Lonchura striata: one gene and its partners. The protein of the gene in region 1 purifies or fractionates together with the protein of each later gene. This does not show direct contact. Links are inferred from orthologs where the notes say so. Each region holds a gene or a part of one and is shown on either strand. Other genes may lie near its edges.

Region 1 (7,203 bases):
CCCGTCCCAGCCTCGGGAGCTGTGCCAGCAGCTCCCAGCAGCTCCTGACCCTCCTGCCCTGCCTCGAAATACCCGGTGGCCCCGTGCCAGGGGCTGGGAGCTCACCCAGCTCTGGCAATTCCTGCGGATCCCTTGGCAAGGGCGGCGCTCCAGCCGAGCCAGCCAAATTCCCAATTAACAGCGCCGCTGATGAGCCCCCGCCAGAGCTGAGCTGTGAGGAACAGCCAGGAAAATCCCGAAGCAAAAGCAGGAAAATCCCGAAGCAAAAGCAGGAAAATCCCGAAGCAAAAGGACCCCGAGCAGCTCCAGGGGCCAGGCGGGCAGCATGCATGGGGAAGGCTGGGGTGCTGCAGTGGGAAGGGATCAGGATTGTCCCAGGGCAGCACTTCCCTGCTCCCCTTGCTCTGCGCCAGGACCCCGAACGCATCCCTGGGGCTGGCACTAATTAACCCCCACCCAAACATTTATCCTGTTAATTCCCAGGGAATCGTGGCCAGGAGTGGGAGCCCTGGACTGCTGATCCTGGTCTATCAGGAGCCTGTGAATCCCAGGAATTGTGCTTTCCTCAACATCTGCTGCCTAATCAGAGCAGGAGTTGGGACAAGGCTTCTGCTTCTCCTGCTGGATTTTGGGGGAGTTTTCTGCAAGAGAACAGTTGGAAAATCAGGCTTTAACCTCCAAGGTTGGAATTGATGATCTCAGAGGTCTTTTCCAACCTTAATCCCTCTGGGATTCCACATCTCTACTTCCCCTTCACTTTAACGCTGATGTTTCTCTGCGTTTGGGGTGCGGGGAAATCACCAAACATCCCAAAGTTCAAAATCTCAAATCCGAGCCAAAAGGAATCCGAGTCACCACAACTTTTCAAAAGCCAAAAAAAGGCACGTGAAAAGGAAATCAGGATGTGTAGAAGTCTCCAGAGCAGCCCAAAAGGGCTTCAATCACATCCTAAATTGTTTATTTCATTATTTGAAAGTGGAGGCGCCAGAAATAGGAATTCCATTTAATTTCTAACTTGATTTGGGTTCTTCTTTCCAACAGCTTCTCCACTGTCCATGGAAGCAGAGCGGGAATCGCTGAATTCCAGAATCTCTGGGATCTCCCTCAGTGTTTTGAATTTCTGACTCTCTTGGAGCTGATTTCAGACCCCCTGGGTTTGTATGGCCAGACCCCCTAAATCGGTACCCCCAGAGCCCCCCAAGCCCCCACAGCTTCTCCTCTTCCTGGCTTCCCTCCCGTGTCTCACCCCTGCTCCTTCCCCTGGAACAGAAATCCACGTTTTTCCAAAGGAAGAGGGGCACTGGGGCCGTGTCATCCCCACTGGCAGTTCCCAGATTTCCTAAGTTATTTGTGCCATGCAAGGAACATTCTTCCACTGAAACTTATGCAGGCAAAAGGAGGAAAGGAAGGAAAAGAAGGAAAATTCCTTTCCAGAGAGGAACAAACAACATTCCTGCATCCCTCACGCACAAAGGCAGACAGGTGAGAACCCACCTTTACATATCAAAACACAACTACAAAGCATTGAATTCACCATGCTAATTATTATCCCAGTATTCCTCCCTTCCTTGGGGTATCTCAGGCCTGGTTTTGCAGGAAAAAGGATCAAACAGGTGAAACTCGGGTCTGGAGGAGATTTTTTTATTCACTTTCAGGCTCCAGGGAAAGAAACAATGTAGGATTCAAGGCAAGGGAGCAGCAACAAGGTGGAGTTGGTTCCTCTTGCTTCCCAATCCCTTTGGAAGCCCCAGCATTTAAAACTGGGAAGGCTCAATCGTCTGTAAACCAGAGCAATCTCCCTAGAGAGGGCAGAGCAAGGAGTGACTCCCACAACCACACAAGAAATAGGAAGGAATTCGAGGTGATGGCTCAGGTTCAGACAAATCCACGCTTCCCTGCTTTCCTCAGAGAGCAGCCCCTGAGGAGCCCAGCTCCCCCCAGACCCTCCTGCAGGACCAGCACTGGGCATTCCAGGAACCTGGGGACAACTGCCCAGCCCTTCCCACCCCAATCCCACCCTCTGTGGCCCCACGAGGGGCTCAGCTCTGCTGCAACCCAGCCAGGGAACTTCCCTTCCCTGGGAATCCTGCACGGACACCTCCCTGCCCTGCCTGCTGGCAAGTTCTGTCTTTGGAATCCCGGTTGGGTGGTCAGGGACCTCAAATCCCCTCCAGGGCCACCCCTGCCATGGCAGGGACACCTCCCACTGCCCCAGGCTGCTCCAGCCCCAGTGTCCAGCCTGGCCTTGGGCACTGCCAGGGATCCAGGGGCAGCCCCAGCTGCTCTGGCAATCCCAGCCCAGCCAGGAATTCCTCATTCCCAATCTCCCATCCATGGCTGCCCTCTGGCAGTGGGAGCCATTCCCTGGGTCCTGTCCCTCCATCCTTGTCCCCAGTCCCTCTGCAGCTCTCCTGGAGCCCCTCCAGGCCCTGCCAGGGCTCTGAGCTCTCCCTGGATCCTTCTCCTCTCCAGGTGAGCCCCCAGCCTGGCTCCATGGGACATGTCACCCTTTATTCCATGAAGAGGATCCATAAAGGTCTCTTGGATGCTGCCCTGGCCCCTCCCTCACCCCAAATCTCTGCTCGGGCCCCCCTCCCCTCCCTGTTCGCTGCCCGCACCCCAACCCTGATCCCCCTTTCCACACCCCTAGCTGTGATCCCGCTTTTCCCTCTTCATTCCTGTTGCGGCTTTTCCCTCTCCACTCCTCATCCCCTCCGTCCCCATCCTTCATTCTCTTTCCCATTCCTGCATCCATCTCTCCCCATCCCTGCTCCCTCCACATCCCCTGGTCCCTGCCTCCCCTGGTCAGCTCCCTGTTCCCCATTCCCCCTCTCCATTCCCTCTCCCCATTCCCTCACTCCATTCCCTCTCCCCATTCCCTCTCTCCATTCCCTCTCCCCATTCCCTCACTCCATTCCCTCTCTCCATTCCCTCACTCCATTCCCTCTCCCCTTTCCCTCACTCTATTCCCTCTCCCCATTCCCTCTCTCCATTCCCTCTCCCCATTCCCTCTCTCCATTTTCCCTCTCTCCATTTTCCCTCTCTCCATTCCCTCTCCCCATTCCCTCACTCCATTCCCTCTCCCCATTCCCTCTCCCCATTCCCTCACTCCATTCCCTCTCCCCATTCCCTCTCCCCATTCACTCTCCCCATTCCCTCACTCCATTCCCTCTCCCCATTCCCTCACTCCATTCCCTCTCCCCATTCCCTCTCCCCATTCCCTCACCCCATTCCCTCTCCCCATTCACTCTCCCCATTCCCTCTCTCCATTCCCTCTCCCCATTCCCTCTCTCCATTCCCTCACTCCATTCCCTCTCTCCATTCCCTCACTCCATTCCCTCTCCCCTTTCCCTCACTCTATTCCCTCTCTCCATTCCCTCTCCCCATTCCCTCACTCCATTCCCTCTCCCCATTCCCTCTCCCCATTCACTCTCCCCATTCCCTCTCCCCATTCACTCTCCCCATTCCCTCACTCCATTCCCTCTCCCCATTCCCTCTCCCCATTCCCTCTCCCCATTCCCTCACTCCATTCCCTCTCCCCATTCCCTCTCCCCATTCCCTCTCCCCTCCCTCTCCATCCCGGACCCCTGCACAGCCCCGACCCCGCCCGCCGGTCCCGCCCGCTCCCTGAGGCGATGTGCCGCCCCGGGCCGCCGCGGCGCACCTCCATGGCCTGTCCCAGCTCCAGATCGAAGGTCACCACGCACACGCAGTCGATCCAGGCGGCGAAGCGGCCCCAGGGCAGCGGGGAGGCGGCGGCGGCGGCGGCGGCGCGGCGGGGCCGCGGCCCGGCCCGGCTCAGCGCGTCCATGGCGGCGCCGCCCGCGCGGCCCGGCCCGCCGCGCCCCCTGCCGGCCGGGAGGACCGCGCCCCAACGCGCCCCAACGCGCCCCGCCGCGCCCCCTGCCGGCCGGGAGGACCCGAACGCGCCGCCCGCACCATCGAGACGGGGGCGGGCGCGCGGAGCGCCGCGGGCGGGGCCGCGCGGGTGTCATGGCGGCGGCGTGAGGGCGGCGTGAGGGCGCCGCGGGGCTTGGGCGCGCTGCGCCCACGGCGGCTTCACCGCTCGGTGCCCGGCCCCTGCCTGCGCCGGCCGGGGCCTGTCGGACCGCCGTGTGTCCCGGCCGGAGCCTGTCGGACCCCCGTGTGTCCCGCCGGGGCCCCCCGCCCCGGCTGTGCCCGGTGTGAGCCTCCCCGAGCCCCCTTTCGCCGATTTAGGAGCGCGCCAAACACCGTTAAGAGACGCCGTTTGTTCCCTGCCGGCCGTGAGGAGGAGATCTCCACAAAGCCAGCTGAGGAAGGGGTCAAAAATGGCATCTCTTCTGCAGGAGAAGTCACACAAACCCGGCCCGCTGTAACTCACACGCTCCACCTGCCGAAGGCGCAGTTCATGGTGTGACCTAACCTGGCCCGGCTGAAAGTTGACTTTCGCTTGAAACAGAGTTCTTTCATTAAGCGGCTTCTATTGTAGAAGTTACCTGAGGCCTCAGTTACGTTTACAAAGGTGAGAAGATGACATCCATTCCTTCAGGAGAAGTTTGCCCCGGGGATGTTGGCAGAGCCGGGCACGGCGGCGTTCCCCGGGCAGAGGGCAAAGGGTGGCCCGGGATTGTTGGTCACCGTGATTTTTGTGGCATTCCAGGCACTTTGAGGGGTTATTTATTGCCAGCTCAAGCCCGGAGCAAGGCAGGAGTAGGACCACCATAAAAAGGAAGTGTGAGAAGGAACAATTCCAGCCTGGCAGTGCCCAAGGCTGGGTTGGACAGGGCTTGGAGCACCCTGGCACAGCGGTGGAAGGTGTTCCCCCCTGCCCACGGGACGGGATGGGCTTTGAGGTCCCTTCCAGCTGAACCATTCCGTGATTCCAGAGAGCCTAGAGGTGTCCAAGTGACCCCGAGTGTTCCCCCAGGCACCCCGAGTGTGCGCTGACACGGCAGCTCCTGGCAGGAGCTGTTTTCCCCAGGAATTCCATGGCCAGGCTGCCGAGCTCTCCCAGCAGCATCGCCCCCGTAGGTTTGGTTATTTATTTTTGGCACTTCTTTGCCCCCCCCCAGTGCTGTTTGTTCAGCTTCAGGCCTTTAATGTCCTTACCCGGCCTGTCCTGCCCCTGTTGAACTCCCCTGATCAGGGAGCAGAGGAGCTGCACTTAAACACTGTCCCATGAATTGCTAGTTAATGCTAATTGTGATTTATTAGCCTGCAACACTACATTTACACTTGCCACACTTGAAGCTGATTCTTGTCACGCAAGGGACAGGAGGGAAAGATAAGGAAAATATGAATTTAAAATAGTTGACATTTTTTCCTCAGTAACTCTTTGTCCCACAATAAAAGTCAGTTTTGATCCTGTCCCAGGGGTCTCCCATGGCTGATTTCACTGCAGCCACACGAACATTCCTGCCTGGCCAAGCAGAAGAAAATTAACTGTGAATCAAAGGGGCAATAAAAGTGCTAAGAACGCCTGAGAAGTATAAAAGTGAGGGCTGGAGGGTTTCCATTAGGATGGGAGCAGAGCCCTGTACCTGAGCAGGGAACTGTCACAGGCAGAAGGTCACACCCAGCATCCCCATTCCTTCACAATTTCCCAGAGCCACAAGGCAGGACAGGCAAATGCTGGAATCACAGAACCTGGGAATCCTGGGATGGGCTGGGTGGGAAGGGACCCCAGAGCCCCTCCAGTGCCACACTGCCATGGCAGGGACACCTCCCACTGTCCCAGGCTGCTCCAGCGTTTCCTTGGACATTCCAGGGATCCAGGGGCAGCCCCAGCTGCTCTGGCAATCCCAGCCCAGCCAGGAATTCCTCATTCCCAATCTCCCATCCCTGGCTGCCCTCTGGCAGTGGGAGCCATTCCCTGGGTCCTGTCCCTCCATCCTTGTCCCCAGTCCCTCTGCAGCTCTCCTGGAGCCCCTTCAGGCCCTGGCAGGGCTCTGAGCTCTCCCTGGAGCCCTCTCCTCTCCAGGTGAGCCCCCCCAGCTCTCCCAGCTTGGCTCCACAGGAGGTTTCCATGAACTCAGGACCTGCCCCAGGGCAGTTCTGCTTTGCTGTTGATGAAACCCCCAAGGTCTCGGGACTCCTTTGCCCAGCTCTCCTCGGTACCGTCCCGGCTGGAGCCCTGCCCGGGGCCGCTGGTGCCGGCCAGGGGAAGCTGCAGAGCGGGATTTTCCCGGAGTGCCGAGCCTGATGCCCGCAGGAGAGGCTGCGGAGGGTCCGATGGCCGGAGTGCTGATCCCAGAGCCGAGCCCGGGGAGCTCCCGGCTGGTGCTGGACCATATTTGGGAAGGTCGGCGCTGCAGCTCTGGAAGCGCAGCGCTGCTGCCGAGCTCGGAGCTGCCGGGGCAGCGCCGGGGCTGCTGCTCATCTCCCCGGCAACCCGGCAAACACAACATTGCCCAAGCCCGGCGGCTATAATTAACTGTGCGCCCCGGCCCTGCGGCCCGCAGGAGCCGCTGCCCGGGCTGCCGTGCTCCCGCACCGCCAGGCTCCGCGGATAATGTTCCCCAGAGCAGCGAGGAGCGTTCCCCGCAGCCCCGGGGAATGCGAGCTGCTCCCGGGGCTGTTTGTGCTCGGGCACCCGGAGCTGTGGGATTTCAAGCAGGCCTGCTCACTCGGCCCAAAAGGCAGCCAGAGAGAAACGCCGGGGTTTGGAAAAGCTCCCGGAGCAGCGCTGGGTGCTCGGCAGAGGCTGTGGCTGGGGGAGAAGGGAGGAAAGCTCGTCCCCTCCTCCCTGCAGGGCCGCTCAGATTAATGTCAAACTGGCGCTGGGAGATCCTGTTCTGATGCCTGCTGGAGGCACCAGATCACGCCTCAATCCTGAGCCAAGAATAGATCCCAGAATTCATCATCCACAGCCTATTCTGGGCCTGCAGCCTCCCACCCAACGTGTGCCCGCTCCCGCTCCGGCCGGGAATCCTGCTCCAGGGCTGGGAGCTCTGCAGCCAGAGCGCTCCCTGTGCTGAGGGGCTGCCCTCACACACAGAACCACGGAATCCAGGAGTGGTTTGGATCGAAGGGGTCCCTAATGCCACCCACTGCCACCCCTGCCAGGGGTCCAGGCTGCTCCCAGCCCCATCCAGCCTGGCCCTGCCACACCTGCCCAGCCCCTCGTGTCAGTGCTAGAGGAGATTCCAGCAGTTGTTCCCAGTGGGATCCAGTGCCCCGTGTCACAGCCAGGCTTGGAACCATGGCCTGGGGTGTCTGTCC
Region 2 (7,094 bases), on another chromosome or scaffold:
TCACCGACCGGCACCGGGAGCACCGGGAGCACCGGCGGCACCGGAGTCACCGACTGGCACCGGGAGCACCGGGAGCACCGGGAGCACTGGAGTCACCAGAGTCACCAACCAGCACCGGGAGCACCGGCAGCACCAGAGTCACCGGGAGCACCAGCGGCACCGGGAGCACCGACTGTCACCGGCAGCACTGGGAGCACCGGGAGCGCTGTGCCCTGGGACCCTTCCTGGTGGACAAGAGGGCTTCTAGGGCTTCCCAAATTCCTTCCAGGGCTTCCCAAATTCCTTCCAGGGCTTCCCAAATTCCTTCCAGGGCTTCCCAAATCCCTCCAGAACCTCACAAGTGCCTTCGAGCTTCCCAAATCCCTCCAGAGCTTCTCAGGTCCTTTCCAGAACCTCAAAGGTCCCTCTGGAGCTTCCCAAATCACTTCCAGAACTTCCCAAATCCCTCTGGAGCTCCCCAAATCACTTCCAGAGCCTCACAAGTCCCTTCAGACCATCCCAGGTCCCCTTCCAACCACTCCCAGTCCCTTCTTGGCCACTCCGGGTTCCTTCAGACCATCCCAGGTCCCTTCCTGACCATCCCTGTCCCTTAATGGTCACTCCAGGTCCCTTCCAGAACTTCCAGGTCCCTTTCAGACCATCTCAGGTCCCTTTCCAACCACTCCCAGTCACTTCTTGGCCACTCCAGGTTCTTCAGACCATCCCAAATCACCTCCAGAACTTCCCTTCATTTCCCTTCCAGACCTTCCCAAACCCTTCCAACCCATCCAGCTCCTTGCAGACCTTCCCAAATCACTTCCAGAACTTCCAAAATCCGTTCCAGAGTCTAACAGGCCCCTCAGAGCTTCCCAAATCCCTTCCAGAACTTCCCAAATACCTTCAGACCATCCCAGGTCCCTTTCCAACCACCCCCAGTTCCTTTTTGGCCACTCCGGGTTCCTTGAGAACATCCCAGGTCCTTCAAAATCATCCCAGGTCCTTTCAGACCTTCCCAAATCCCTCCAGAACTTCCCAAATCCCTCCAGAACTTCCAGGTCCCTTCCAGAACTTCCCAAATCACCTCCAGACCATCCCCGGTCCCTCCCGGTCCCTCCCCGCCGGGGGCTCCGGGCCGGTGCCGAGCCGCGGGGACGCTCCCGGGCCTGACGCCGGGAGGAGGAGGAGGAGGAAGGCCGGGACCTCCGAGCCGGGCACACCGAACCCCGGCGGGGCCCGGTGCCGCCGTGCCCCGGTGCCGTCCCGCCTCCGGTGCCGCTCCGGGGCGGCGATCGCGACTTTCCCACGGGAATCGTCCCGCCGGTGCCACCGGGGCCGCCGGTCCCGCTCGTGTCCCCGTGTTCCCTGCCGCGGGTGGCCTCGGGGCCGTCCCCTCCCCGGTGCCACCGGGGTGACCCCGCCGGGGCTCGGTTCCCCCGCGGGCGGCGGCACCGGCGGCACCGCCGCGCTCCCGGTGTCGCCGCGCGGGTTCGCGCCAAGGTCAGAGCCCCCCAGCCAGCGTTCCCCACCCCGCGGCCAACCGGGCCAGCGGCACCGGCGGGCCGCCGCCGCCCCGGGATCACCGGGAGCCCCGGGATCGCCGGGATGGCCCCGCCGGGACCCCCCCGTTCCCACAGGGTGCCCCGGGACCACCGCACCTCACGGGGGCCGGGAGCGCGGCCAGGCCCGGAGGAACCCCCGCAGCACGAGCGCCTCCCGGTGCCCGCCCCGGTGTCCCCGGTGTGACCTCCGCGCCGCCGCCGCTCACCTGCCGGGCGGGGCCGCCGCGGCCCGCAGGCGCTGCCGCGCCCCGAGCTGGAGGGCGCCGCGGAACCGCCGGGCCGCCATCAGCGGGCCGGGACCGGGACCGGGACCGGGGCCGGGCCGGAACCGGGACCGGCGCCGCCCTGACCTCTCACCCCGTGACGTCACCGCGTCGCCATGGCGCCGGGCACGTCACGGGGCGGGCACCGCCCCCGAGCGGGGCATCATGGGAGTTGTAGGCTGAGAGTGCGCGGGGCACGATGGGAAATGTAGTGCGGGCTGGGGATGCGGCTGCTGCGGGACCGAGAGCAACCGGGAGCAACCGGGAGCGACCGGGAGCAACCGGGACTGCCCCGCCCGGGGCTGCCGGGGCTGGGCTCTGCCCCAGGGGCCGCGCCTCCCACGTGTGCTCCCGGTCCGTGGGTCCGGAGAGGGACGGGGAGCCTCCGGTGCCGTGCCCCGGTAAGGGCCCCGCTCCGAACCGGGCAGAGGAGCCGAGAGAGCGGGGATCCACCGTGGCTGCGGGAACTGTGCGGCCCAGCGCCGCCCACTACAGCGCAACACACAACAGGGCCTCCCAGTGTCTCCCAGTGCAGCTCAGCACATCCCAGTTCAGCCCAGCACATCCCAGTTCCTCCCAGAACATCCCAGTTCAGCCCAGCACATCCCAGTTCCTCCTGGAACATCCCAGTTCCTCCCAGCACATCCCAGTTCAGCTCAGCACGATCCAGTTCCTCCCCCCAGCACATCCCAGTTCCTCCCAGCACGTCCCAGTTCAGCCCAGCACGATCCAGTTCCTCCTCCCAGCACATCCCAGTTCAGCCCAGCACATCCCAGTTCCTCCCGGAACATCCCAGTTCAGCCCAGCACATCCCAGTTCAGCCCAGCACGATCCAGTTCCTCCTCCCAGCACATCCCAGTTCAGCCCAGCACATCCCAGTTCCTCCCAGCACATCCCAGTTCCTCCCAGTTCAGCGCAGGGATGCAGCACCAGTTCCCAGCCCCGTTCCCGGTGCCGGCCCGGCCCCTCTTGGAGCCCCGGGACCCCCCGGGACCACCGGGGGACGGGGTTCCCACCGGACAGACCCCACAGAGGGATGGAAGTGCCACACCGGGACCCCCGGGACCTTCTCCCACCGCCCCAGCACTCTTCAGGCTGGGGCACCCGGGACCCCCGGGGTTACCGACAGCCGCTCCGGGATGCGATTCCCCCCGGGAACACCCGGTGTCACGGCACCGACCCCCGGGGTACCGACAGCCGCTCCGGGATGCGATTCCCCCCGGGAACACCCGGTGTCAGAGCGGCGACCCCCGGGGTTACCGACAGCCCCTCCGGGGTGCGATTCCCACCGGGAACACCCGGTGTCAGAGCAGGGACCCCCGGGGTTACCGACAGCCCCTCCGGGGTGCAATTCCCACCGGGAACACCCGGTGTCAGAGCAGGGACCCCCGGGGTTACCGACAGCCCCTCCGGGGTGCGATTCCCACCGGGAACACCCGGTGTCACGGCACCGACCCCCGGGGTACCGACAGCCGCTCCGGGATGTGATCCCCACCGGGAACACCCGGTGTCAGAGCAGCGACCCCCGGGGTTACCGACAGCCCCTCCGGGGTGCGATTCCCCCCGGGAACACCCGGTGTCAGAGCAGTGACCCCCGGGGTTACCGACAGCCCCTCCGGGATGCGATCCCCACCGGGAACACCCGGTGTCACGGCACCGACCCCCGGGGTACCGACAGCCGCTCCGGGGTGCGATTCCCCCCGGGAACACCCGGTGTCAGGGCACCGACCCCCGGGGTACCGACAGCCCCTCCGGGGTGCGATTCCCCCCGGGAACACCCGGTGTCAGGGCACCGACCCCCGGGGTACCGACAGCCCCTCCGGGGTGCAATTCCCCCCGGGAACACCCGGTGTCAGGGCACCGACCCCCGGGGTTACCGACAGCCCCTCCGGGATGTGATCCCCACCGGGAACACCCGGTGTCAGGGCACCGACCCCCGGGGTTACCGACAGCCCCTCCGGGGTGTGATCCCCACCGGGGACACCCGGTGTCAGAGCAGTGACCCCCGGACCCCCGGGGTACCGACAGCCCCTCCGGGGTGCGATTCCCCCCGGGAACACCCGGTGTCACGGCACCGACCCCCGGGCCGCTCTCCCCCGCCCCGCCGCCCCTCGGGCCGGGCCCGGCGCTGCCCGGAGACCCCCGGCGATGCGGCCGCCCCGGGGCCGCCCCCGCCGCCGCCGCCGCCGCCCGGGGCTCGGTGGGCGGCGCATCCCCGCCGCTCCTTCCCCGCCCCGCCGCCGCCCGAGCGGAGCCGCCGCGGCCGGACCCGATGCCGGCAGCTGGGCGCTGAGGGCGGCCCCGACATGGGGGTTCTCAGCATCACGGACCAGGTACGGCCGAGCCCCGCTCCCGCTCCCGCTCCCGCCTTGCCCGGGCGGCGCCGCCACGGCAGCCCGGGGATGTGCGGCCTAGCGCGGCTCCCGCCGGGCCCGGCCCGCCGCCGCCGCAGGCCCCGGGCCGCCGCCCCGCTCCGCCGGGCCCCGCCGCCGCTCCGGCACCGCCGCTCCGGCACCGCCGCGGCCCGGGACGGCGCGGGAGGGCCCGGGAGGGAGCGGGAGGGAGCGGGAGGGAGCGGGAGGGAACGGGAGAGAACGGGAGAGAGCGGGAGAGAACGGGAGGGAACGGGAGAGAACGGGAGGGAACGGGAGGGAACGGGAGAGAACGGGAGGGAACGGGAGGGAACGGGAGAGAACGGGAGGGAGCGGGAGGGAGCGGGAGAGAACGGGAGAGCCCCGGGAGGGAACGGGAGGGAACGGGAGAGCCCCGGGAGGGAACGGGAGAGCCCCGGGGATGGAACGGGAGAGAACGGGAGGGAACGGGAGAGAACGGGAGAGCCCCGGGGATGGAACGGGAGAGCCCCGGGAGGGAACAGGAGGGAACGGGAGAGCCCCGGGGAGGGAGCGGGAGAGAACGGAAGAGCCCCGGGGATGGAACGGGAGAGAACGGGAGGAAACGGGAGAGCCCCGGGGAGGGAATGGGAGAGCCCCGGGAGGGAACGGGAGAGAACGGGAGGAAACGGGAGAGCCCCGGGGATGGAACGGGAGAGCCCCGGGGATAGAACGGGAGGGAACGGGAGAGAACGGGAGAGCCCCGGGGATGGAACGGGAGAGCCCCGGGGATGGAACGGGAGAGCCCCGGGGATGGAACGGGAGGGAACGGGAGAGCCCCGGGGAAGGAATGGGAGAGCCCCGGGAGGGAACGGGAGAGCCCCGGGGATAGAACGGGAGGGAACGGGAGAGCCCCGGGGATGGGACCCCCGGGAGGGAACGGGAGAGCCCCGGGGATGGGACCCCCGGGAGGGAACGGGAGAGCCCCGGGGATGGGACCCCCGGGAGGGAACGGGAGAGCCCCGGGGATGGGACCCCCGGGAGGGAACGGGAGAGCCCCGGGGATGGGACCCCCGGGAGGGAACGGGAGAGCCCCGGGGATGGGACCCCCGGGAGGGAACGGGAGGGCCCCGGGGATGGGATCCCCGGCCCAGGGATGTGAAGCATCACAGGGGGATCCTGCTCCATGAGACCCCCCGGCCTGGGGACCGCAGAGCTTCGAGAGGAGATCCCGGTCCTGGGACCCCCTGGCCCGGGAACGGCAGAGCCCCGGGATGGGACCCCTGGATCAGGAACAGCAGAGCCCCCGGGATGGGACCCCTGGATCAGGAACAGCAGAGCCCCGGGATGGGATCCCTGGATCATAACGGCAGAGCCCCCGGGATGGGATCCCTGGATCAGGAAGGGCAGAGCCCCGGGATGGGATCCCTGGATCAGGAAGGGCAGAGCCCCCGGGATGGGATCCCTGGATCAGGAACGGCAGAGCCCCGGGTTGGGATCCCTGGATCAGGAAGGGCAGAGCCCCCGGGATGGGACCCCTGGATCAGGAAGGGCAGAGCCCCCGGGATGGGATCCCTGGATCAGGAACGGCAGAGCCCCGGGATGGGATCCCTGGATCAGGAACGGCAGAGCCCCCGGGGTTGGGATCCCTGGATCAGGAACGGCAGAGCCCCGGGATGGGATCCCTGGATCAGGAGCGGCAGAGCCCCGGGGATGGGATCCCTGGATCAGGAACGGCAGAGCCCCGGGTTGGGATCCCTGGATCAGGAACGGCAGAGCCCCGGGATGGGATCCCTGGATCAGGAACGGCAGAGCCCCGGGTTGGGATCCCTGGATCAGGAAGGGCAGAGCCCCCGGGATGGGATCCCTGGATCAGGAACGGCAGAGCCCCGGGTTGGGATCCCTGGATCAGGAAGGGCAGAGCCCCCGGGATGGGACCCCTGGATCAGGAAGGGCAGAGCCCCCGGGATGGGATCCCTGGATCAGGAACGGCAGAGCCCCGGGATGGGATCCCTGGATCAGGAACGGCAGAGCCCCCGGGGTTGGGATCCCTGGATCAGGAACGGCAGAGCCCCGGGATGGGATCCCTGGATCAGGAACGGCAGAGCCCCCGGGGTTGGGATCCCTGGATCAGGAACGGCAGAGCCCCGGGATGGGATCCCTGGATCAGGAACGGCAGAGCCCCGGGGTTGGGACCCCTGGATCAGGAAGGGCAGAGCCCCGGGGTTGGGATCCCTGGATCAGGAAGGGCAGAGCCCTGGGATGGGATCCCTGGATCAGGAAGGGCAGAGCCCTGGGATGGGATCCCTGGATCAGAAATGGCGGAGCCCTGGGATGGGACCCCTGGATCAGGAACGGCAGAGCCCCCGGGATGGGATCCTTGGATCAGGAAGGGCAGAGCCCCGGGGTTGGGATCCCTGGATCAGGAAGGGCAGAGCCCCGGGGTTGGGATCCCTGGATCAGGAAGGGCAGAGCCCCCGGGATGGGATCCCTGGATCAGGAAGGGCAGAGCCCCCGGGATGGGATCCCTGGATCAGGAAGGGCAGAGCCCCGGGGTTGGGATCCCTGGATCAGGAAGGGCAGAGCCCTGGGATGGGATCCCTGGATCAGGAAGGGCAGAGCCCTGGGATGGGATCCCTGGATCAGGAACGGCAGAGCCCCGGGATGGGATCCCTGGATCAGGAACGGCAGAGCCCCGGGATGGGATCCCTGGATCAGGAGCGGCAGAGCCCCCGGGATGGGATCCCTGGATCAGGAAGGGCAGAGCCCCCGGGATGGGATCCCTGGATCAGGAAGGGCAGAGCCGCCAGGGTTGGGACCCCTGGATCAGGAATGGTGGAGCCCCGGGATGGGATCCCTGGATCAGGAACGGCAGAGCCCCCGGGATGGGATCCCTGGATCAGGAAGGGCAGAGCCGCCAGGGTTGGGACCCCTGGATCAGGAACGGCAGAGCCCAGGGTTGG
Region 3 (7,156 bases), on another chromosome or scaffold:
AGCTCAATAATCAGTAAAGTTTTAAGGACATTAGTACAGCAGAAAGATATAACAAACAAAACTAAAATATATTAAAAAATTAAAATCTATTACAAGAGAATTATATTTGATTTTACCTGAAAATTAACATCTTCTTTCTTAAATATTAGTGCTCGAACTTCATCAGGATCTCCATTAAATATAGCTTGAACCAATGGTGGCTAAAATGAAGAAGAAACACAAAATAAAACCCTGTTTTAGTGATACACATACAGTTTTTTTGATACATAACAGAAACCCAAGGTAATGACAAAAAACCCATTCCAGACAGTAAAACAAAGAAACCAGCGCCAGTAATTAGAATCAAAGAAATTGCAAGTTTTAAAAACCTCAAACACACGGACATCCTCCAAGTCAATTAAATATATATGTGCGAGAAAAAAAAAGGAGCTGAGAAGACAAGCTTATAACAGCTGAAAAGAGAATGCCTTAGAACAAAATTAGGGTTGTCATTACATGCTGCAAATTCTATACAGTATAAGCAAACAATCCCCTTTTACATTAGCAAGTGACTCAAGTTACTGGAAGTCTTTCACCTGTTTAGACAGAGTAGGAAAGCAAAGTGCATCAGATAAGTATGGTAACAAATTCACACTCACACACATCTATTACTAAATATAGCAGGATTTCTTAGTAAGTAAGAAAAGCTGCTGAGGTATGCTAGCAAGATTTAAATCAGTCACTTGTCAGAATAAAATAATTTCAAGCAATAAAAGCACAGTTCCCAGTGTTGATCATTTTCAGAAAGTGCTAACTTGAATCTAATACCAAGATTGTGACTTATGTTAATTTTTATTTTAGCTTAGAATTACCCTTGTTTGATATAACGATATACTCTATTAGTTCTCAAAATAAACACAGCATATGATTATAATACAATGATCACATCAGCTTCTAAAGTAGTACTGCATAAATGTACTATTGAAGATGAGAAGTGGAGCAGGGAAAGCCCCTTTACTTCAAATACACTTCCTCACGCCTTCTAAAACCCCACTGCTATTGCACAATAATGAAGACCTGTTCTTGCTGCACCATAAATAAGGTCACATGAAATAGAAAGGACCCTTGCAAGCATAAATTCTACCACTAAGTTTCAGCTTTTTCCATCTTTATTACATGCATATTTTATCACCTTGTCTGGTTTCACCATTGTATGTATTCATCCTTATTTCAGGAATATAGCTATTGGCATTTGAGACAGCATTATAAGCAGGGAATCTGCCAACAAACAACATGCCTTACCAGCACATTTCCAGAGGGTGATGGATGTACAGATACATTTTCCTGAGGTATATTGGAAATAAATGAGGGAGAATCATCTTCCTCCTCCTCCAAAACAACAATACAGACTCGACTCATTCGATCCGTTTGAGGAAGCAAAAGCAAACAAGAAAATGCCAGCAATGATATTTTTGGAAGCAGACTGCAGGTATCACAATAGTGACCATAGAGGAAACACTTTCACCTGTTTCACAGGCCCTCACAAACTTGTGAGTGCTACTGCTGGTGTCTTAGCATCTAGAAAGGGGCATTCCAATCCCCCCTCACAATTCATTTTCCAAACTGAAACACCATGAGATGTTCAAGACACTGCTGAAAAAAGTAGTTCTTGATGAAATAAAAAGTCCCTAAGCATCAAAACCACAATAACAAAACCGTGGAACAGCTCATAAAAATATCCCAAGATCCAATTCCATTTGAACAGCACTCACTGTCACACACAGCTGTCCTTTCAGAAGCAAATTTGTCTTTGTTAATGTCACAACTTCCACAGCGTCCTTCTACCCTCACAGTGAAGTCATTGTTGCAGAAGACATGACTCCGTCCTGCAGAGGACGGAACAAGGAACAATTGCCCCGAGAGAGACGGCCGCAGCTATTCCCACTCCTGCAAGGTCAGTTTAAATCAACCCTCACAGGCTTTTTGGTGACTGAAAATAAACGTGCCTCCCGATCATCCTGCCATTCTCCAGCTTCCTTTCTCAATGTCAAAAACAGTCCAGACAGAAAAACACATCTCGGTTCAGCAGTTATTCAGGACCTGCTGAGAGGAAAAGAATTCTTTCCCATGCAAGAAAATAGCTGCAACGTGCAGCAGGGCTGCAGCACATTTACATGCAATGAGTCAGACCACAGGGACAATGAACTCCTTGAATAATACTGCCGGCCGAATCCAGCAGAAGCAGCGCAGCCGGTGCTACTCCGTCAGGGACACGAGCAATGCGGATAGTTCATTTTTCCTTCACCAGGCAGTAGCTGTGGCTTCTCCATCAGGGAATGCGTAAGGCAGAAATACTGTAGAGGAGGAATGCTTCAGCAAAACAAGCTAGCTACTGCACACAAAAGCTCAAATTACTGCCTTAGACGACTTCTGCAAAAGCAGTTCATCACTCAAGTGTTTCTTTTGATCACCATGTGAATGCAGTTCCCATGATAGTCTTCATTCAGATTGAGGGGGAGGAAAAAAAAGGAAGAAAAAAATCAGACTCTGTACATCTTCTCTGAGCCAACTTCTTTATCCGAACATCTGTCACTGCGCCAACCTGATTCTCCTCTTCAGTTAGAGCTTCTGCTTATTAGGTTTTTTCCTTGACAAATTAAATTATACAATCAGCAGAGAGGCTTGTAAAGCTCAAAAACCAGCTTGGGTGTCCGAGGCGGCAGGAGCGGCGCACCAGGCAGTGCCACGGCGGCGCTCCCTGAGCAGCAGCCTGGGAGCAGCGCCTGCAGCCTGCCAGGGCGCAATGCCGAGTAATGCTCACATGTCACACTTACCAGAGCACCCAGCCACCGCTCCCAGGGTAACTTCCTCTGCCACCAAAAAAAACCCGCCTTTTGCTTTTTTTGGGGGCAGTCTTTGCAGCCTGCGCCAGATCGGTGACTAACGCAGCTGAAAACGTAAAAATTCTATAACTGAAGAAAGAGCGACTGTTTTAATATTTTCCACTAAAAGCCGCAAAGAAATGTGGCTGTGCTGACTAACTACACTTTAGGCAGTAAACAATTCCAGCACTTTAACTGCTTTCATATGGCACTGGTCAGAGCAGCAAAACAGTTCTCACTTAACTCACTAAAGACAACAAATGCCCCACATAAATCCTCTGAAAATTAAATTAAAAGTAAAATCTTAAAGCAATAGGCTGACTATTAAAAAGCCAGCTATTAATGACCAAAGCCGTGGGTTTTTTGCAATTAGTACAGACAAACACAACCTCAGCTTTAAAAAAAAATTACATTAAGTATAATTTAAATATAATATTATTAAAATACACCATAATAATGAGGTATAATATGAATCCCTACAACTTGCTGAATAAATACTTCGGCTTGAATCTGCCTAAATGGTGCTGGCTCGTGGGTGTATTATGTAAATGGCTTCTGTCAAAAGTTGCTGGATAAGCTTCAGTGTTACAGGAATAGAGGGAGGGTTTTTGCTCCTGCTGTGCAGCACGAAGGCAATTCTGATGTCCTTCAGTGGCTGCTAAGAGCAGAATTTGTCAATGGTGAGCAAGTTTATAGCTCTTCAATAAAGTATTTGCACTCAAATTTCACACACGAATCCAAGCAGAGAGAAAGACAGGTTTAAATGGTGTGGTTTGGATATAAATAGACATACTGAATTCCCACCTTTGGGGGCTACAGACAGGAAAAGCTTACATGAACTCTTTTGCAAAAATGCCTACAGTAGCTTGATTGTAACATAATGAATTGCTTAAACACCTCCCTTTCCCCCTGACACTATGCAGGTGAAACTTACTAAGTGCAAAAAAGTACTTTGGGCAAGGGCTCCCTGACCTCTAGAGTCCTGACCTGGCAGAATACAGCACCAGATTCTGATTCATCATGACATTTCAGATTAAAATTTTTCAAGACTAACAAATAACTTTATAAATATATTTGGTTCATTACATAGAGTCTAGTTGCTTTGCAATCTCATCCTTTTGGTCTTAATTACAAAAAAAACAATGATTTGTACACCACACTGCTTTGTTCTAGCATTTCAGCCATTTATTAAAAAGCAACAACACGGATTCACCTGAATACATACAGCAACTCACGTTCTTCTTGGCCACAGGAGAACTAATTCTAATAAACTATGGACATCCTCAAAGCTCAGCTGTTGCAACACCCTACTGTCTGCTATGGAACACAACAACCACAACACAGAAAATAGCTTGCTTTCTATTTGTGAAAAATGCCCTCAGGAACAGACACTTTGGCTTACTTGTGTAACTAAACACGCATTTTAAAAAAATTAAAACTCAGATTTTATGTGTAAAAGCAAAATACTGGCAAGCTTCATATGATACATACACACTTGCTAGATAATGGCTTTCCAGCTAAGCCCATATGTTCAGTGTAAATTAACACTTTTCAAGAGTCAGTAGATTTATACAATATGCAAATGCCAAGGGTTCTATATGCTTTCTTCGGAATTACCAACTGGACACATTGCTAGATAGAGACAATGCCTAATTTAGTTCAAATTATCTGAATGTGGTCCATTTTTTACCTTTGTAATTAATGCTCCAAGGCAGCTAGAAATTCAATAGTTACTTTTAAAAAAATAGGCTTTCACACTCAGTTAATTGTGAAAATTCAGAACATTTTAATTTACTCTGATAATTTACAATTAATATAAATTATGTCCAAAAGCAAGTAAACATATATCTCACCTAACACTGTATGGTTTTGAATTGTGACATCACAACAGAGAGTTAAAAGCCAGTACATCACAGTTTGCATTAAAAAGACAACCAACACAACTGAATCAATATTATATTGATTTCCATAGCAATCTAAGCCATGTAAGTAAGCAAAAACACTCTGCTCATGATAGGACTGTGTGTGTGCAATTGCTTCCGTAACCAAAGGAAAAACCAGTTCTGGATATTTAATTTTTGCTCACAATTAACTAGCATTTCCCCCTTCAACCAAAAGCTGTGCCTTCACTTCAATGCAAACAGCATCTCTAATCACCTCTTCTTTCAACTGCAAAAAACCATTCAAGTCATCTTCTGGAGGGCAAAATGCAGTTTCTAATGTCACCTAAGAGATCTTCTAAAACCCAAAAGCTGTTTAGAATTCTACTGTAAGAAACCAGACTAAGGTTTCAATTTTTCAGCAGCTTATCTAGACTAACAACTTTCTGTGTAGAAGAGTTAATAGGAACAGAAAATGAAAGCAGAATAAATTCAAGATGATTAATTTAAGCTTCTGTTCCTCAAACTAATTTAGGAATCATAACAGAACTTTGCAAAGGTATAAAGAACATTGCATCTCAAACAGTTTGGATTAATAAAACTTAAAATAACTGAAGACAGCAGGTCATCACCATACATCTTCTCCAAAAGTCATCTATTTCCAATACAAAAGCTTATAAAATGAGAAGCAGAAAAGAAGGCTTAAAAATGGCCTAACTTGAAAAAAAGAATGCCATGTCTACAGGGATTTGGGTGGTGATCTGACCTCCACAAGATCTATTAGCAAAGTAGTATCTCCACACAACTCTCAAATTTTAAGAAGTGCAATGGTGATATGAATTTTTGTGAAAATAAAGGCTTTTTGTGTTGATGTGGTAAGGGAAAAAAAGTGTAATTTTCAAACTACACTTGTCTTTAAGTAAATCAAGTTTCAAGAGTCTCTAATGGGTGCATATAAAGAAAATATATTACAAGGATGCAACCCGCAGGTTAAAACATATGTCTGCCATCTACACTAGACAGAAAAAACATTAACTCTGAATCAGCTAAAAACAGCAACCTTTTCTATGGATCTGCCCTCTTCTCTAGGAACAAATGAGCAGAAGACTGTAGCAGCACTGCTGATGACACCAAAAACCAAAGGACTCAATATCAAAGAATCTACTCAGATAAAGATTTCTCTCTTGCCAATCAGCATTTACTAAGTTTTTTCTTCTGGGTTGAGGTTAATCCAACAGGTTTCAGGTAATATTTTGAATGATTAAAAGAATCTAGGTAAGGAAGACAATAGTTCTGTCAGGTTCCATTAAAAATGAAAAAACTTAGAACCAAGTCATATATCAACTTTGCAAGGCAAATACCTAATCTGTGTATTTCTTCAGAAGACAAAGATTGCTTTTAACAGCCACAGCTCTAAGTACATAGGCATACTCCAGTATAAGCAGATTTTATTAAATACAGACAGAGATGAGTGTTCAGCATCACCATGAATATAAGTAAGTTACAATAATTCTAGAATACTTTTAATGAGTCACTCATCTGAACTCCTCTGCTGTTTCCTCCCCACTCCTGAGGGAATGAGGTGGAGTCAGGAAAGAGAACAGACTAAAGCAAGAAATTAGTACCTTTCTTCCCAGTTTTGTTCTGTTTATTCCAGAGCATCTGCATCTGCAGAATAGTTTTAATCCCTGGACTCCACAGTTTTTCTTCTAAGAACAAGCAAAATAGCTATGCTTGCACTTCATGATACCACAGGCAATTCCTACTTTTTCTCATGCAATTATACAGGCTCTGTTAATCTAAAGAACTATTTCACATAGTCACATACTATCTTTGAACACTTGGTAATTAATAAAATCCAGTATCTAAAAAGCCATTTCAGCTGCAATTGAAACACAAAGAAGAAAAATAATCTAGCATTCACTCTAACTTTTCTCAGTTGGAGCAACATAAGAAAAATGAATAATAAAAAATGTCTGTGATTCAGACACAAACTTCAGTTGTATACTTAAACACCCAGTAATATGTTAAAAATATCATCTGACCAAAGAGCAGTAAAGCACCTTGAAAGTGTTAAAAGTCTACTAAGCAATTTGCTGTTTAAGACTTCTATTCTATGTATCTGAACAACACACCTGCAGACAAGCTCTTGGCTGAAGGACCATATGGCCATCACAGTACAACATAAGTAAATACCTGAAAAAAATTATCTCTGGTGTCCAAAATAAGGAGTCTAGCAATCAAACTGTGCACAGACCAAAACCCAGAAAAGCAAAGGCAACTCCTATTTCTCTTAAAAGAAAGTGAAAATATGAGGGTTCTGCATCTTCCAACATGTGTTCTAGCTAAGATATCAGCCAGCACACTTTCCTTTTAGGCCAGATTTAAATTCACTGGCAGGAGGAGGTACTTTGT

What was found. The genes of interacting proteins can lie anywhere in the genome.
Region 2: the proteins of PPP6R2 (region 1) and ANKRD52 purify together in Homo sapiens (affinity purification with mass spectrometry; 3 studies listed by BioGRID and IntAct, counting the BioPlex papers as one, with this or other methods). This does not show direct contact. The link is inferred for Lonchura striata from reciprocal best matches to the Homo sapiens genes PPP6R2 and ANKRD52.
Region 3: the proteins of PPP6R2 (region 1) and ANKRD28 purify together in Homo sapiens (co-immunoprecipitation; 4 studies listed by BioGRID and IntAct, counting the BioPlex papers as one, with this or other methods). This does not show direct contact. The link is inferred for Lonchura striata from reciprocal best matches to the Homo sapiens genes PPP6R2 and ANKRD28.

The regions. Positions count from the first base shown.
Region 1 is NC_134607.1:72,861,814-72,869,016, reverse strand, and holds the start of PPP6R2 (serine/threonine-protein phosphatase 6 regulatory subunit 2), read left to right. Parts: upstream 1-4,196; 5' UTR 4,197-4,504; intron 4,505-7,203. Other genes in the region: protein DENND6B, read right to left, coding at 3,665-3,811. UniProt on the Homo sapiens protein: Regulatory subunit of protein phosphatase 6 (PP6). May function as a scaffolding PP6 subunit. Involved in the PP6-mediated dephosphorylation of NFKBIE opposing its degradation in response to TNF-alpha.
Region 2 is NC_134629.1:5,549,102-5,556,195, reverse strand, and holds the start of ANKRD52 (serine/threonine-protein phosphatase 6 regulatory ankyrin repeat subunit C), read left to right. Parts: upstream 1-4,081; 5' UTR 4,082-4,107; coding exon 4,108-4,134; intron 4,135-7,094. Other genes in the region: COQ10A (coenzyme Q-binding protein COQ10 homolog A, mitochondrial), read right to left, coding at 1,745-1,824. UniProt on the Homo sapiens protein: Putative regulatory subunit of protein phosphatase 6 (PP6) that may be involved in the recognition of phosphoprotein substrates.
Region 3 is NC_134603.1:121,892,904-121,900,059, reverse strand, and holds the start of ANKRD28 (serine/threonine-protein phosphatase 6 regulatory ankyrin repeat subunit A), read right to left. Parts: upstream 3,014-7,156; 5' UTR 1,399-3,013; coding exon 1,282-1,398; intron 201-1,281; coding exon 117-200; intron 1-116. UniProt on the Homo sapiens protein: Regulatory subunit of protein phosphatase 6 (PP6) that may be involved in the recognition of phosphoprotein substrates. Involved in the PP6-mediated dephosphorylation of NFKBIE opposing its degradation in response to TNF-alpha.